Cricetulus griseus: one gene and its partner. The protein of the gene in region 2 interacts with the protein of the main gene of each other region in a biochemical or structural test. Links are inferred from orthologs where the notes say so. Each region holds a gene or a part of one and is shown on either strand. Other genes may lie near its edges. The genes, in order: Oprd1 and Gprasp1.

Region 1 (8,872 bases), on a different chromosome or scaffold from region 2:
GGCCAGCCTGATCTACAGCCTGATCCAGAACAGTCAGGGCTACACAGAAAAACCCTATCTCAAAAAAAAAAAAAAATCCATGGGCTTTTAGAAGATATTTTTTGTTTTTCTCTTTTGTATATAAGTATTTTTTGTCAGCTTGCTTATCTATGCAGTACCCCCAGACACCAAAGAGGGGGTCAGTTGAATCCCTTGGAACTGGAGTTACAGACAGTTGTGAGCCACCAAGTGGGTGCTAGGAATTGAACCTGGGTCCTCTGGAAGAGTAGCCAGGGCTCTTAAGCACGGAACCATCTCTCCCGCCCCACACCAGTTTCTTTTAAAACGTGTTTCCCTTTTCCCTTTGGTTTTGTTAATTTGAAACAAGGTTTCAATTCTGTGTCTCAGGATCGCTTAGCAGACAAGACTAACTCAAGGCCAGTGTGCGCCACAGAAAAAAACCCCTCTATCACCTTCACACACAGAATCTTACAAAATCCATATGCTGCCCAGAGGTGGTTTCTCACGCCTTTAACCCCAGCACTTGGGAGGCAGAGACAGGTGGATCTCTTTGAGTTTGAGGCCAGCCTGGTCTACAGAGGGGGTTCCAGGATAGCCAATGCTACACAGAGAAACCTTGTCTCAAAAAACAAAACAAAAAAATTAAATTAAATTTTTAAAAAATCGACATACCTGAGTCCTGATTTCCCTATGTAATTCTAATTTCACAAAGACAAGTGTGTGTTTATGTATGTGTCTTTGTGTCCGTGTCTGTGTGTGTGTGTGTGTTTATGTGTCTGTGTGTGTTCCTCTCTCTCTCTCTGTCTGTATGTGTGTGTGTGTTTATGTGTCTGTGTATGTTTCTCTCTCCTCCCTCTCTCTCTCTCTCTCTCTCTCTCTCTCTCTCTCTCTCTCTCTCTGTATGTGTGTGTGTGTTTATGTGTCTGTGTGTGTTCCTCTCTCTGTATGTGTGTGTGTGCTTATGTGTCTGTGTGTGTTCCTCTCTCTCTCTCTGTATGTGTGTGTGTGTCTATGTGTCTGTGTGTGTTCTTCCCTCTCTCTCTCTCTCTCTCTGTATGTGTGTGTGTGTGTGTTTATGTGTCTGTGTGTTCCTCCCTCTCTCTCTCTCTCTCTCTCTCTGTATGTATGTGTGTGTTTATGTGTCTGTGTGTGTTCCTCTCTCTCTCTCTCTCTCTCTCTCTCTCTCTCTGTGTGTGTGTGTGTGTGTGTGTGTTTCTGTGTGTGTTCCTCTCTCTCTGTGTGTGTGTGTGTGTTTCTCTCTCTCCTCTCTCTCTCTCTCTCTCTCTCTCTCTGTGTGTGTGTCTGTGTGTGTTCCCCTCTCTCTCTCTCTCTCTCTGTGTGTGTGTGTTTATGTGTCCGTGTGTGTTCCTCTCTCTCTGTGTGTGTGTGTGTGTGTGTGTGTCTCTGTATGTGTGTGTGTTTATGTGTGTGTTCCTCTCTCTCTCTCTCTCTCTCTCTCTCTCTCTCTCTCTCTCTCTGTATGTGTGTGTGTTTATGTGTGTGTTCCTCTCTCTCTCTCTCTCTGTGTGTGTGTGTGTGTGTGTTCCTCTCTCTCTCTGTGTGTGTGTGTGTTCCTCTCTCTCTCATGTGTGTGTGTGTGTTCCTCTCTCTCTCTCTTTCTGTGTGTGTTCCTCTCTCTCTCTCTCTCTCTCTCTCTCTCTCTGTGTGTGTGTGTGTGTGTGTGTGTGTGTGTGTGTGTGTGTGTGTGTGTACAGAAGCAGAGATGGGAAAGAAATGCATATAAATGACTAAGCTTTTCTCTGCAGTAGGATTATGGGTAATATCAACCTCTGCCAGAACATCTCCTTAGGTCCTGAAGTAACTATCTAGTTATCTTTATTATAAAAGAAAGCTTCTAATATTGACCTGATGAACTTGCCCTGTAGCACCCACTCAGAGCTCTTCCCATGCTTAATAAACATCAATGGGGTGAATGAGAGGTGAGCCTTACCCCTCCCCCTCACAGCCAGACTTCACAGAAATTGCTTCTGAGACCCTTACTAAACACCTGGTGCTGGTTCATGCTCCGTGATCTCCTCACACTCATCCTTGGAGGGTCTACCATCCTCCCATTCCACAGAGCAGAACACTGAGGCACAGAAAGATTAATGTACGGATTGTTTAAGCTCACTCTCTTAGAAAATGTCAGTTGGCCCTGAAATTTGGGCTTGCAGCTTCTGGGTCACCCACTGAGGTCTCGGAGATTTGCACAACCCTGACCTCCACTCTGCATGCGTCTCAAGAGTAGCATAGGCGGAGTGGTTAACGCTGGTTTGGGGGCTCAGAAAGACCTGAGTCTATGCTGGGCATGCTTGTCTGTAACCCCAGCACTTGGTGTGGCAGAGACAGGAAGAGGAGAAGTTCTAGTTCATCCTCAACTACACAGCAAGTTGGGGACCAGCCTTGGCTATAGGAAACTCTGTCACAGAACAAAAGCTGAGCTTGTGACTCCACTAAACTCCTCTGTAGTGGGAGGCCTCTGTACCCATGTCCTCGACTATGAATGAGAATAGAAAGTCCCACTGCAGAATTGTGGTGCAGGTTGGAGAATCCCTAGAGCCCAGGAGAAGGCTCAGGAAAGACTTCGGTGTCCTTGGTGACTCCTCCTACTCACCCCGCTGTGTCTGTGAGTCATACACACTCCTCAGGGAATGATCCTAAGACCTAGGAAATGGCAGATTGTGGGTAAGGCCAGGAGGCCCTGGCTGCTGCTCACTCTGCCCTCTCCCCGTTTGGTTTCACCCAAAGTCATCAGTCCAGTTTCTGCCTTCCTGTCAGGTCTAGCAGGCTTGAGTTGCAGAGAGGCCATGGAGGCTGGAGACAGGGGTTTTGGTTACCTGCCCAGGGTCACAGGGCTCCTCCCGTTGCCTGGCACCAGCCTCTGATTCCCCCCACACTCACTCTCTGCCCACCTCGTCTGCTCCAGACTATACCAGATCTATACTCTTGACCACCATTCTTCACAGATGTCCCCCTCCCCAGACACCCCTAGACTTCCCAGCACAGCTGGCCTTAGCATGGAGCCAAGAACCTGTCCAGACTCCAATTCCACATCCAGAATAGCAGTCAGAGCCCCAGCACACTGCCTGTTCCTAACACAGCCACCCTGGCCTGTCTCCAAGACTCTCCTCAACTTCTCACTCCTTCCCCATTTTCCCGCCCTCCCCCAGATCAATTCCTTCTGTTGCCTGGGGTCTATAGAACCCCTCCAGCGTCTACACCTTTTTGGGCATTCTGGAAGGCAGAGGCTAAGTTGACAGACTCATCACCAGCCACTAGGCTCTAACGAAGCTCAGGACATAGCAGACGTTTCCAACAACCCCAGAGAGAGGACCACCACTGCCAAGGCTTTTTATGCCTTTATCCTGCAGCCTCTCCACCTTCTGGCCACCCAGACCCCAGACGAAACTCCTGGCTCTTTACCAGATCTCTCGATGTCCTTCTGCCCCACCCACCTCACCACAGAGCCCACTGCAGCTGCTCCTTCACCACTCAGTCCAGGCATCACCTCCTCTGGCTAAATCAAGTCCCTGCCCTGAATCCCACAGCCCTAGGATTTGATCCTGAGGTAGCCTCTAACCTTAGATCCTTGAGTATGGATGTTAAGAGCTAGAGGCTACCTGAGGTTTGGGCTCACTCACGCTCTGGGCATCGAAAGCTCTGACGGCCAGGCATGATGGTGCACACCTTTAATTCTAGCACTCGGGAGGCCAAGGCAGGTGGATCTCTAAGAGATGACTGCAAAGCCAGCCATGTTCTGCATAGTGAGTTTCAGACCAGCCAAAGCTGTGTCAAAAACAAAAACAAAAACCTAAGGCTGGACAGGTGTAGCAATGAGTAACAACAGTGATTTTAATTGATGACTGACTAAATGTGCACGTTTGCAGGGCAGGAGACAGGGCCCAACATGGAAACTATAGACAACTAATCCTCAACAGCTGCCCACCTGCAGAAGCTGCTGACGTGCTGGCCCAGCCCCCAACACACACGGAAGGCCTAGTGTACTCCAGGTGCCTGCTATGAGGACATTCCCTGCATCACTCTGTTAAACCTTCCCAACAGCCTATTGTAGTCACCATACTTTTTCAAATGAGGTAAGGGAGGCTCCGGAAAGTTGAGCTTTTTGGCCACCACCACATCAGTCATGTTGAAGATGTTAGAAACTGGGCACCACACCACAGCCATGACCTTTACCTCCACACTGCCTCATCTTTCTGGAGGGTCTTCTGACTGGGAGTAAAAGATCTGAACCCCTAATCTGAGCAAGAGGGGGGACAGAGGCAAGCGGCCATACTGCATCTCTCTAAACAACACTGGGCTTGGTGCTCCCAAGTCTCAAAATTGTGGTTGAGAACTCTTCCCAGCAGCCCCAGGGAACCTCGGCAGAAGACAGAGGGGACAACCCAAACCTTTCATACTGCAAAGCCTGCTATGAACCCTTACCTCAGTATGAGAGAGAAAAAAATGCTTTACTAACGTCACTGTGCCCCCAGGTACAGTGAATTAGAGACATTTCACTTTGTTAACTTAGGCAGTACTCAGTGTTGCACATTGGTGGGCAGGTGCTCTCCCATTTAACTCTACCCCAAGCCCGTTGTCCTCGACTGGCCTCCAGTTCTCTATGCAACCAAAGATAACTTCTGGCTTCTGAGCCTTCTGCTTCCATACCCACAGGGCTGGGATTACAGCCATGGACCACCACACCCAGTTTATGGTGTGTCAGGGATCGAACCCAGGGTGTCACAAATTTACACAAGCTCTACCCACTGAGCTACATCCTGTGTCTCTTAAGCCCTTGTTTGCCTCTCTCCTGTCTCTTCTCTCTCTCTCTCTCTCTCTCTCTCTCTCTCTCTCTCTCTCTCTCTTTCCCATCACCACCCTGGTCTTGCTGTATCCTAGACCTCAAGAAGGATAGCCTGCCCTGAATCATAGACAGAGTTCCTGACCACATGACCACTGTGGAAGGGAAGAGAACCTATGGCCAGTCCACAGGAACCATGGGGCTCTCTATTAGAGAACACACAGCTTAAAGACAGGTGCGCAAAGCCATCCTGGATGTCTCCCTCACCTAGGAGCTGTAGAGGCCTGACAAGAAACAATGCAAATACAGTCTCATACAGAATCACAAACTGATGTTTTGGGACAAGCCCACACTGCCACAGCAACCACAAATGATGACAACCAAATGTGATTTGTGGAGTGTCCCTGCAGCATGGATCTGTCCCTGCTGTATGCTCCGAAGACCCAAGGCATGGTATAAAACACCTCAGCCCACCCCTGTGATGTTTCAGAGGACCACACACACACACACACACACATACACACACACACACACATACACACACACACACACACACACAGACACACACACACACACACACACACACACAGACACACACACACATCACACACACACACACACACACACACACACACACACACACACACACACACACACACTCCTCCTGTCAAATTGCTGGATCACAAACTGTGTGTGACAAAGTGTTGCCAAACGGCCTCACTTCCCGGATGCAGAAGCAAAGGAATGTCAAGGATGATTAATTGTGATGTAGTTAGGCTAGTGCAAGAAAACACACACACACACACACACACACACAGAGAGAGAGAGAGAGAGAGAGAGAGAGAGAGAGAGAGAGAGAGAGAGGACTTGGCCTCTGTGCGGGACATGCAGGAGCTGGGAGACTCGGGGTTGGGATCCGGGTCTGCAAAAACGTAGTGTCCACACTGACCCTGGGACCAAACCCCACGCGGGGCCCTCGGCTAACTCACCGGACGATGCCAAACATGACGAGCACGTTGCCCAGCAGCCCCACTGCGCACACAGCCGAGTAGAGCGCGGTGATGGCGATGGCTAGGGCGAGGGATGAGGCGCTCCGGGCGCCCGGCGGCCCCGACGCGTTGGCGCTCGCACTGGGAAAGGCGCTGGGGAAGGTGTCCGAGGCGTTGGCCAGCGGGGACTGCAGCTCCGCGCGGGCAGAGGGCACTGGCTCCATGGCGCCGCCGCGTCCGTCTCCACCGTGCGCCCTGGGCGCAGGGACCCAGAAAGTGGCGCACGGACAGCGGAGGCCACGGCCCCGACGTCGCAGGCTGCAGCGCTAGCTCCCGCCTCCTCCGCCCAGCCGGCCGCCCGCTGCGCTCGCCCAAGCCCTGGGAGCCCCGAGCCGCCGCGTGCACCACGTGGCTCGGAGGCGGCCGCCAGTCTGAGCCCGCGATCGGGGGCGGGCGCTGCACCACCGGCTCGGGGGCTGGGCCGGAGAGGCCTCCCGCGTGCTCCCTCGCTGGGTTCCGCCTGGCGCCCCCAGTCCGGCCTGGCCTCCCGCACCACCCCGGTGCCACTTTGGAGTCAGAAGAACCTGGATGCGAATCCCGCCTCCCGCCTCTGCACGGACGAGGGGTGTAACCTTGAGCGAGTCGCTTAAGCGCTCTCAAGTTCATTCTCTGTATCTGCAAGATGAAGAAAATCACCCTGCCGTCTTGATAGGGTTTGGGGGAGATGAAGACGACGGAGTAAAGAACTCAGATTTCTTTCCTGCGACTCGATGTTCTGTGCGCTCTCTACTCTTCTCCATGTCTTCTCCCAAAACAATCAAGTGACTCCTGACCAAGAGGCAAAAACAAAACCGTCCGGTTCCCCCAAAAAGATCCTAATTAGATTTGGTGATAAAAATCAGCTACAACCCCAGGGAGAGACACTGGAAATGAAGGACCCACCTGAGTCTGTAAGGCCTTGCATAGGAGATGGCAGACGTGATGCCATCAGGGTGCCTGGCATCTCACCACATCAAGCTGAAAAGGTCACAGCTATCAGGAAAGTTGAGTATCCTGATAACTTTCCTGTCTTGGAGCTGTGCTCTGAGCTAGCTCACTGCTTCCGATGTAAGTGAGCGCTTTAGAGAGAGAAGGAGAGATCTACCAACACCCATTAGCAGCCATGTTTTTCTATATCCATTCATTAGCTCCACAGATCCTCGGAGGGTGCCTCATGTAAGAGGCAGCACAGGGGTGTCCGGCTCCCAAGGGCTTCCAGCTCAAAGGGAGAGCCACACACCAATTCTAAAACTCACGCTCAAGTCCTGCTTGAGGAAGGGGATGGGGCTTGAGGAAGGGGATGGGGCTATGAAACGGGGGGGGGGGGCCCTTAGGATAGGTTTCCTAAGGAAATGACAGCTGAGGTGAGGTGTGAATTTAGGAGTGAGGGAGACTAATTTAGGGAAGAAATCAGGAAGAGCATTCTAGAAAAAGGAAACATACACGAAGGCCCTACAGTCAAAAGGACTGAAGCCACCCAGGGCCTACAGCAGGTGGTGTGTGAGAGAATGGGTCTCTACGATGGACAAGATCTGAAAGGTCATTGCGTTCAGTTTCTTTATTTGTTGGCCTCAATTTGACTAAACATATCTGGGAAGAGGGAATCTTTTGTTTTGGTTTGGTTTGTTTCTCAAGACAGGGTTTCTCTGTGGCTTTGGAGGCTGTCTGGAACTAGGCAGGCTGGTCTCAAACTCACAGAGATCCACCTGCCTCTGCCTCCCAACTGCTGGGACTAAAGGTGTGTGCCACCACGGCCCGGCTCGAAGAGGGAATCTTAATTGAGAAAATGCCCGATAAGATTTGCCTGTAGACAAGTCTGTGGAACATTTTCTTTATTACTGATGTGGGGGTGCAAATGCCACCCCTGAGCAGCCACTCCTCGGCTGTATTAGAAAGCAGGTTGAGAAAGCCAGTAAGCCGTGTTCTTCTGTGGCTTCTGCCTCAGTTTCTGCCTCCAAGTTCCTGCCCTGAGATTCTTAGAGAATGGGCTATGATGCGCCCATCAGGTAAGCCAAGCAAACCCTTTCCTCCCCTAAATGCTTTTGGTCCCGGTGTTTTATCACAGCAATCAAAAAAAAACCCCTAAGACAAGCAACCTAAGAAGGGCTGGAGAGGTGACTCGGTGGCTAAGAGCACTTGCTGTTCCTGCAGAGGACTGGAGTTCAGTTCCCAGCATCCACATGGTGACTCTCAACAATCTGTACTCTAGTTCTAAGGTTTTGTTTTGTTTTTTAAGATTTATTTATTTATTATGTACACAGTGTTCTGCCTGCATGCATCCCTGCAGGCCAGAAGAGGGCATCAGATCTCATTACAGATGGTTGTGAGCCACTATGTGGTTGCTGGGAATTGAACTCAGGTCCTCTGGAACAACCAGTGCTTTTAACCCCTGAGCCATCTCTCCAGCCTGTGTTCTAGGGGTTCTGGCCCTCCCCTCTTCTGGCCTTCATGGACATTGCATACACATGGTGCACATACAATCCTGCAGCAAAAATTCAACAAACAAAAAAAGATCTCCCAGTGTGGTGGCACACACCTTTAATCCCGGCACTCAGGTGGCAGGGGCAGGCAGATCTCGATGAATTCAAGACCAGCCAGGTCGACTCAGCCTGTTCCAGGACAGCTAGGGCTGCGTAGTGAGACCCTGTCTTAAAAACAAGACCACCTTAAGGACCACTTGTGCTGTTAGAAGAGCAAATGAGGGAGTGGGGGGTCATTTAACTGACTCTTCCTTCCCACACCCATTCTCCAGCCCAGATCCTGAGCCATCCTTTTCCTTAAGGTTCCCAGACATTCTAGAACATTCTCTCTACCAAACTGTTGCATGCCTGGGAACTCTATTTCTAGTCAGACAGAGAGGACAAGGACAGACCAAAGAAAAGATCTATTTAAGTCTAGTTTGGCTACTTGCTTTAGCTGCTTATAAGAGCTTGGGTGCGGGGTTACCTACTAGAGGAGGAAAACCTAGAGCAGGTTCATCACCAACAAAAGCCCCATGCACTCGTGGATGATGACTTAAGGGAAATCCCTGGCACAACTCTTG
Region 2 (8,430 bases):
TGAGGAAGCAAATGCAGAGTGCTGTAACCCAAGAGGGTGGTGAATGCTGTCTTTACTGTCCCCTCTATTTGCCCACAGCTGCTGCCATCATTTCCCAATCGTCTTACATTGTCATCTCTTTGTCCACAGGCCGGCTTTAAGGCTGCTCAGTTCTGAGAGAAAGGAAAGAAGGCATCGAGGAGACTGTCTCAAGATCTCTGGAGGTTGGTGAGCCTCGTGGGCAGCGCAGGAGCCAGGTACTGAGGAAGCAAATGCAGAGTGCTGTAACCCAAGAGGGTGGTGAATGCTGTCTTTACTGTCCCCTCTATTTGCCCACAGCTGCTGCCATCATTTCCCAATCGTCTTACATTGTCATCTCTTTGTCCACAGGCCTGCTTTAAGGCTGGTCAGTTCTGATAGAAAGGAAAGAAGGCATCGAGGAGACTGTCTTAAGATCTCTGGAGGTTGGTGAGCCTCGTGGGCAGCGCAGGAGCCAGGTACTGAGGAAGCAAATGCAGAGTGCTGTAACCCAAGAGGGTGCATGATGTCTTTACTGTCCCCTCTATTTGCCCACAGCTGCTGCCATCATTTCCCAATCGTCTTACATTGTCATCTCTTTGTCCACAGGCCTGCTTTAAGGCAGGCCAGTTCTGAGAGAAAGAAAGAAGGCATCGAGGAGACTGTCCCAAAATCTCTGGAGGTTGTCGACAATTGGGCAGTACAGGAGCCAGGTACTGAGGAGGCAAATGCAGAGTGCTGTAACTCAAGTGGGTGCCTGATGTCTTTACTGTCCCCTAAATATGCTCACTGCCACAACATCCTTTCTTCCCTTTCAGAGAGGTAGATATGAGTTAGTCTGTGATCCACAGGAAAAGAGCTGGGACTGGGGACAGCAACTTTAGACAGAAAGTGGGCATGGTTTTGTTGTTGTTTGTTTGGGCCCAGGGATGTGTGCCTATGTGGCAGGCACTAAAGTCCCTTTCCTTTTGCAGGACTTCCCCCCCACTGTCAGCTGTTGGTCTTAACATCGCTTGAACGCATCAAAAGGAGGGAATTGCACCACCTCGGCGAAGGTTGGTATGGGAGGGCTTCACTTTTAGGTGGGAGTAGTAGGGATCACCAAGAGTGACTGCTGTGAGATTCGGGGGCTCCTCTCTATCTTCATTTCTAGGGTGTATACTATTTCCTCAACCCTGCACCTGTTTTCCCTTGGGCAAAAGAACATAGAGGTTTTCTCTTAGCTGAGCTGTTCCACTCAGCGTTATGCACCAGTGTCTCTGTGTAGTTGCTACAGGAGGCAACAGAATTGTATGAGACTGATTTCCTCCTTTTTTTTCTCTTTCTAGATCACCTGCAGTAGCTGCTTGGTGGTGCTGGGGTTGCTGCTGACCAGTGCACTCAACAGATCTGCACCCACCTAGGACCTGTCCATCGTCCCCTGGCTTGGCCTCACCTCTTCTGCACTGTATCTGTGTTATTGACTGAGACTGCTTGGGTAGGAGCCTCGTTGAGTGCTGGATTGTCACTCTCGTCTAATTCTTTTAGATCTCATAGTCTAACTTACCAAAGAGTGTTGTGAAGATCAGCCCTGTAACAGATCTGCAGTGAAGGTTTACTGTTGTTAATTGGTATATATCGGGGTTTTATCTAACATATACTATGACTAAGGCAGAGATGGAGCCTGGTGCCCAGGCAAAGGCCGAGAGTAAGCCTGGGGATGAGAATGCCAATACCAATACCAATGGTGCTGAGGGAGAGAGTGAAGCCCCAATGGTGGTCAGACCCAAGGTTAGGACACAGATAATGCCTGGAGCAAGACCCAAAGTGAGGCCTAAGACTACTCCTGCACCCAGACCTAGGAGTGAAGCCAGTGCACCAGCTGGGGCATATGCTAAATGCAAACCCAAGTCCATCCCTATTGCACGATCAAAGAATGATGCCCAAGTCTGGGCTCCAAATCGGTTTCGGGCAGAGCCCATGTCAAAAATGGGCAAACAATGTCAGATCAATCCTGCAGACTCTCCACTGGTCAATACTGATTCTGGGATGGTTGCTCAAGCGAAGTGCCTGTCTGTAGATAGAGAACATGGTCATATGGACACTGAGAGTTTTCCTAGGAAGGCTAATTCTCAAGCAGGATACCAGCCTTCCTTTGGCTCAGAGGAGGGAACCAGTATGGGGTCCTGGTACCGTCCCAGGCCTACCCCCAAAGGAGAGGCTTATGAGAATTCTGATTTCAGATGGGCAGACAAACCCTCAGGAAGTTCCTCCTTCTGGAATAGGGATGAAACTAGTGCAAGATTTCGTCCTAGGAAAAACATGAAGCCCAGTAATACCAGGTTCAGACATATGCCCAAACAAGAGGCAAATAGCATGCCTAGGCACAAAACCAAACAAGAGCTATATAATATTTCTAGTTCTGATTCTGAAGAGGAGTCTGCTAAGACTCCCTGGTTCTGGGCCAAAGAAAAGCCCAAAGTCTGGTCTAGGCCCAGAGAAGAGCCCAATAATAGGTCCTGGATTAGGCCTAAGAAAGAAGTCCGTGTTGAATCCTCTTCCGGGTCTGAATGTGAAAATCAGACAAAATCTTCATTCTGGTCTGGAGAAGATGCCAAATCTAGACCCAAACCCAGAGCCAGGAAAGGGATGAATACGAGGGCCAGGCACCAGGCCAAGCGAGAGGCTGGCAGTGACGGCCTATCTGCATCTGTAGATACAAACAAAAAAGAGTCCTGCTCCTTCCCTGAAGATAAGGCTAGTGCTTTGTCAAAGTCTAAGCCAAAGAAAGAGCCCAAAACCAGAGCAGTGCCAAAGGAAGAAGTCAAAACCAAGGCCAGAGCAACTACCAAACGAGAAGCCAGGGCAGAGGAGGAAGTCTTCATTGGGGCTTGGTTCTGGGATACCCAGGAGCCCAGGATGGTAGATAGGGTAAGCCCCAAGGCCAGCTTACTTGTAGAGGAGGAGCCCTTTGTTGGAGATTGGTTCTGGAGTGAAGAAGAAACCAGTGTGGACTCTGAGACCTGTTGTAAACCCAGACGAAGGGCTAAGGAGGAACAAGTTAGGGCTTTCTCTTTAGGCTCTGGAAAGAAGACCAGTATGGAAAATGGGCCCAAGCCTACCTCTAAGTCTGTGCCTGTAGCTAATGAGGAGGAAAAGAACATTGTTGGGTCCTGGTTCTGTGCTGATGATGAAGATATCAACTTAGAGGCTGAGGACGAGTCCATTTTTGGATCTTGGTTCTGGGGTGTTGGCGAGAACTCCCTGAGATCTGTTGGAGTCAGTTATGAGAAGATGCTAAAGTCTGGGGAAAAAGAAGTTACTGATTCGTGGTTCTGGGCTAGGGAAGTCAATCCAGAAGCTGAGGTTGAAGAACAGGCCAGGCCAGCATCTGCAAAAGGGACAATCTTTGTGCCTTGGTTTTGGTCTGAAAAAAATTTAGGGACTGAACCTTGCTCTGACATCATGGCAGGAGCTGAGGAGGAGCCCATAATTGGGCCCTGGTTCTGGGCTAAAGTAGACAATAGTGCAGACATTGACGATAGCAGTAAGTCTAGCCTGGAGGATGAGGAAGAGCCCATTATATCTCCTTGGCTTGGGGCCAGAGAACAAGCCAATATGAAGTATGCAGCTGGGGCCAGATACAAGCCTGTGGCAGAAGCTGGGGAAAATAATAAAAGGTCTGACTTCTGGGCAAAAGAACCCAGTTTGTGTCATGCCAATAGACAAATCTTGAAGTCTACTCTGAGAGAGCAAGAGAACACTGTTGATTCATGGCTCTGGTCCAATAATTATCCAAGGAAACAGGCCATTGCAGGGTCCTGGTTATGGGCTGCAGAAGAGGGAAATATAGATGATGAGACCGGAGAAGAGATCAAGCTACCAACTTTAGAGGACAACATACTCAATTCTTGGTTCTGGAAGGAAAACGAAGAAACTGTTGTAGAAGCTGCCAACAGAGAGGAATCCAAGCCAGAAGCTGAAGAGGAAGACATCATTGGCTCCTGGTTTTGGGCTGGGGATGAGAACAGATTTCAGCCAGCAACTGAGATTAATGAAGAGAACAAGATAACATCCGAAGAGGAAGATACAGTTGGATCCTGGCTCTGGGGCAAGGAAGAGGCCAGTCTTGAGGCAATGAGAAGGGGCACTTTTGAGTCCACTCCTGGTATTAAGGAGGGAAAAATTAGTGGGTCCTGGTTCTGGACCGAAGAAGCCAAAGTAGGGGCTGGGTCGCAGACAATCGAAACTGGGTCAGAAACTGAAGAGGAGGCAATTTTTCAGTCTTTGATCTGGGCTGCCAAAAAGGACAATGTACGAGCGGGAGTAAACCGTGTGTCCAAGCCAGAAAATGAGAAAGGGCCAAATGTTGAGGTTAGGTCAAGTGCAAAAGATGAGGTGATTAACAAGGCTGGCAGTGGAGATAACTGTGAATCTAATGCAGAAGCTGAAAACATAGTGGGATCCTGGTTCTGGGAAGGAGATGAAGCTAGTTTTGAATCAAATCCTACTCCTGTATTCAAGGCCGTTTGCAAGCCTAAGTCTTCAGCTGAGCAGGAACCTGATCCTTCCCGCAGACCCCAGAGCTGGGATGAGGTCACTGTTCAGTTTAAGCCTGGTCCATGGGGAAAGGCTGGTTTCCCATCCATAAGCCCCTTCAGGTTTCCAAAAGAAGCAGCATGTCTGTTTGCTGAAATGTTTGGGGGGAAACCTAAGCAAGAAGGAGAGGAGGAATCTTCATGTCAGTCTGAAAATGGGTTTCCATTTCAGTATGATCCCTCTTACCGATCAGTCCGGGAAATTCGAGAGCATCTTAAGGTCAGGGAAAGTGCAGACCCTGAGAGCTGGTCCTGTAGCTGCATACAGTGTGAGCTTAATATTGGCTCTGAGGAGTTTGAGGAACTTCTTTTACTGATGGACAGAAACCGAGACCCTTTCATTCATGAAATATCTAAAATTGCAATGGGCATGAGAAGCGCTTCTCAGTTTACCCGAGATTTCATTAGAAACTCGGGTGTCGTCTCACTTATCGAAGCCTTACTTAACTATCCGTCCACCCGAGTTAGGACAAGGTTTTTGGAAGATATGGTTAGCATGGCTCCACCTTATCCAGATCTAAATGTGATTCAGACATACGTGTGTCAGGTTTGTGAGGATACCTTTGATTATGACTTGGATTCCCCCGAGCAGTTGTCTGGATTGTCAATGATTACCCACCTCAGTGCTACTTCTGACTACCACAAAGTGGTTGGCAAGTATTTGGCTGGGTTCTTCTACTTACTGAATTCAGGCAATACCAAAACAAGGTTTCATGTTCTGAAATTGCTACTGAATTTGTCTGAAAATCTCATCATGACAAAACGACTGCTTGCTACTGAGTCCATGTCTGAATTTATGACCCTCTTTAGTAAGGAGGACTCAAATGACAACATTCAAATTGTTCTTGCGATATTTGACAAGATTAGCAAAAATATACAGAAAGAAGCCCTGTTTGCTGATGATGATGATGAGGAGGAGGAGGTGGTGGTGAATCTTGACCCACTTATTTCTGCATTCCATGAGATTGAAAACTTTGCTAAAACACTAAAACGCAAACCTGACAATTAAAAATCACCCGAAGCAGAACAAAACCATTTAATATGCTTAACCATTTGCCTATGATTGTCCTTGTGTTCCCAAGTCATAACGACCCTCAAGTAATGCTTTGGTTTCACAGCTGATTCCGTGTTTCAGTGTACCTCTTCAATGCTGGTGATAATTTTACCCAACTCTGTGGAAGCTGTATCATTTTCCTAATGCCAAATGAATATACAACTGAGAACACATTTGTTGATGATACTTGTTTTGTTGATTGTACTGTTCAATATGTGAGTTTAAAGTGAACTGAGCCATTGTAAATAAGATACCCTTCTAATTGTGCCCATGTGTATCTATTTGAGTGAGTCTTGTGCTTCAATAAAGTTATATGTTAAAGCAAGCAGAAATTTCCCCTTCACTATAAAATAACAGATGCAAAGATGGCACATGAACATGCACACAAATATTGTATGAGTAACATGCTTGTTACAAAAGCTTTTTCTCAGCATTAAATCTGAAAAGTTGGAATGGACTGCAACTCGGAGCATACCTCCGAGAGGAGTCACTTTAAGGTATACCCTAATTCAACTTACGGTGAGAGGGAAAGTGTGGGGTATGAAAAAGTGCATCTATATTTATATATCCAGATTCTTGGACTAGGTGGGAGGAGTACAAATTGAAAATAATATATTGAAAATGAGGTAAGTTTTGAAGCGCAAATGGAACTTTGCTGTTCAAAATACTGTGTTCAAAATACAACCAGTGCAATGCAGAGTGTAAAAGAATAACACCAGTAAGCACAACATTTTAATTCAGTCAAGTGCATAATTAAATCATAATGGTTTTGTTATCACTTGATAAGACACTGTCCTGTGGTATTAGAGCTGGGGAGATGGCTCAGTATAAAGTGCTTGCTAGGCAAGCCTAATGTCCTCAGTTCGGACCCCAATCACCCACATAAAAATACAGCGATGCTTGTGAATATCTCTAACCCTTGTTCTCAGGAGCAGAGACGGGAAGGTCCCAGGGGCTTTCTGGCCAGCCAGGCTAGCCAGTCTGTGAGCTTGAGGTTTTGTAAGAGACCCTGTCTCAAAAATGAAGTGATTGCAATAGAGGAAGAAATTTGATATAGTCATATGGCCTCTGCACATGTACACATGTACATAATACCACATACACAACACATGAAGTCAAGTGTTTAACCACTGATTTTAAAATGTAGTAAGCCATGACCCTTTCAATAATTTGTAAAGAATTGTGTATATGGAAATAATGGAGGAGTCTAGAAGGAGTTGGGGGAAGAAGAAAATATGATTAAATCTGTTGTATGAAAAAAGGTTTTAAATAAAAATTTAAGAATAATTAATTACATTTAAAACATAAATGTAGGTGGGACAAATTTACTCAAAGTATGTTACTAGTTTATGAAATTTCTACAGTTACATATACAAAACATCAAAGGAATAATGACACAACTTCAGAACTGGGTTGTCAATCAGAGCACAAAATTATCTAAAAACAAAAACTATCTGCAAAACTATCAAAGTTTACTAATTCATTCCACACTATTTTGTTGTTGATGTTTCTGGAGACAGGCTGTTTTGTAGCCCTGGCTAGCTTCAACCTTGGTGTGTACCTGGGACTCACTTTGAACTTCTAATGCTAGGATTAGGGGTGGCTGTACTCAGATTCAGGCAACACTGGGATTGAACTTTCCTTCATGCATGATAAGAAAGCACACTTTAAGACTGATTTGCACCTCCAGTCCCACACAATGTATCATTAATTCATGAAGGTTGTAGCATAGGCTCATAAGGGGAAATATATAGCAAAATAGGGAAATATATAACGTTTTAGATATTTTATTGGCATATACAGAATAATGGGTTTCCTAATGATATTTGCTTATATGCATATAATACATTTTGATCATATTAACCCTGTTACTGTCTTCTTCCACTCCTATTTCCAGTGATCCCTTTCTTTTAATCAACTGGCTACCCCCACCTTTTAAGTTGTTTTTTTTTTTTTTTTTTCTGATGATCCGGTTAGTTTAATTAAGGTTATTTATGGGAGCACGGTCAACTTTGCTGTGGTTACACCATGGATAAAAATACCTCTCATGGCCCCAGCAACTATTAACTGGCTGTGGAACCTCAGACAGGCATGGGAGCATGTAAGTTCCTCCCCCAAGCAACCATTAATTGACTAAATCCTCAGGGAATGGCAAGGCCTTAACAGGAACACCCCTCTACAATGAAATGTCAAAGGGCCAATCTTGTGCAAAAGACCACAGCTTCTAAGAGTTCCAGAGTGCAATAGTCCTGTCTTGCCCAGAAGACAGCATTTCACAACACCCCTTCCTCCAGCTCTTACATTCTTCTTGTCTCCTTTTATACAGTATTTCCTGAGCTTTGGATGGGGTGACATAGATGTCCCATTTAGGGACAGACATTCAACAGTGACATTCTCAGCACTGTAACCAGTTAGGAGTCTCTGCAGTAACTGTTGCTCAGTGCAAAAAGAAGCTGATGTGCTCTGCAAGGCTCCAGGGACTTTACTGGAGTGATGAGGATGTAAAGAAAGGACAAATGTGAGTACAGAAAAGCTAGAATCAGGTGCGTTGTGCTTTTCTGATGGAGTAGCTACAGTACCCCAGAAGCTTGGTGTGTTTATTACAGTTGAATAGGAAGGCAGGACTATCAAATACAGTGGAGTTATTACATATGGATACACAAGGAGTCGGGATTATTGAACATATCTGAACAAGGTTTAGCTAATGTTGTAAAGAGCTGTCTCTGTAAGGGAGGTAAACATCCATGGGAGAAAGTTATGCTGGACATTTTCTGCACACACTCAAACTAGAGGAAAGCTTTA

What was found.
Region 1: the proteins of Gprasp1 (region 2) and Oprd1 form a complex in vitro, tested with the Homo sapiens proteins (2 studies listed by BioGRID and IntAct). The link is inferred for Cricetulus griseus from reciprocal best matches to the Homo sapiens genes GPRASP1 and OPRD1.

The regions. Positions count from the first base shown.
Region 1 is NC_048595.1:21,093,685-21,102,556, reverse strand, and holds the start of Oprd1 (delta-type opioid receptor), read right to left. Parts: upstream 6,015-8,872; coding exon 5,791-6,014; intron 1-5,790. UniProt on the Homo sapiens protein: G-protein coupled receptor that functions as a receptor for endogenous enkephalins and for a subset of other opioids.
Region 2 is NC_048604.1:44,564,258-44,572,687, reverse strand, and holds the end of Gprasp1 (G-protein coupled receptor-associated sorting protein 1), read left to right. Parts: intron 1-210; exon of another isoform or gene 211-236; intron 237-369; exon of another isoform or gene 370-476; intron 477-555; exon of another isoform or gene 556-606; 5' UTR 607-710; intron 711-971; 5' UTR 972-1,052; intron 1,053-1,325; 5' UTR 1,326-1,638; coding exon 1,639-5,583; 3' UTR 5,584-5,953; downstream 5,954-8,430. UniProt on the Homo sapiens protein: Modulates lysosomal sorting and functional down-regulation of a variety of G-protein coupled receptors. Targets receptors for degradation in lysosomes via its interaction with BECN2.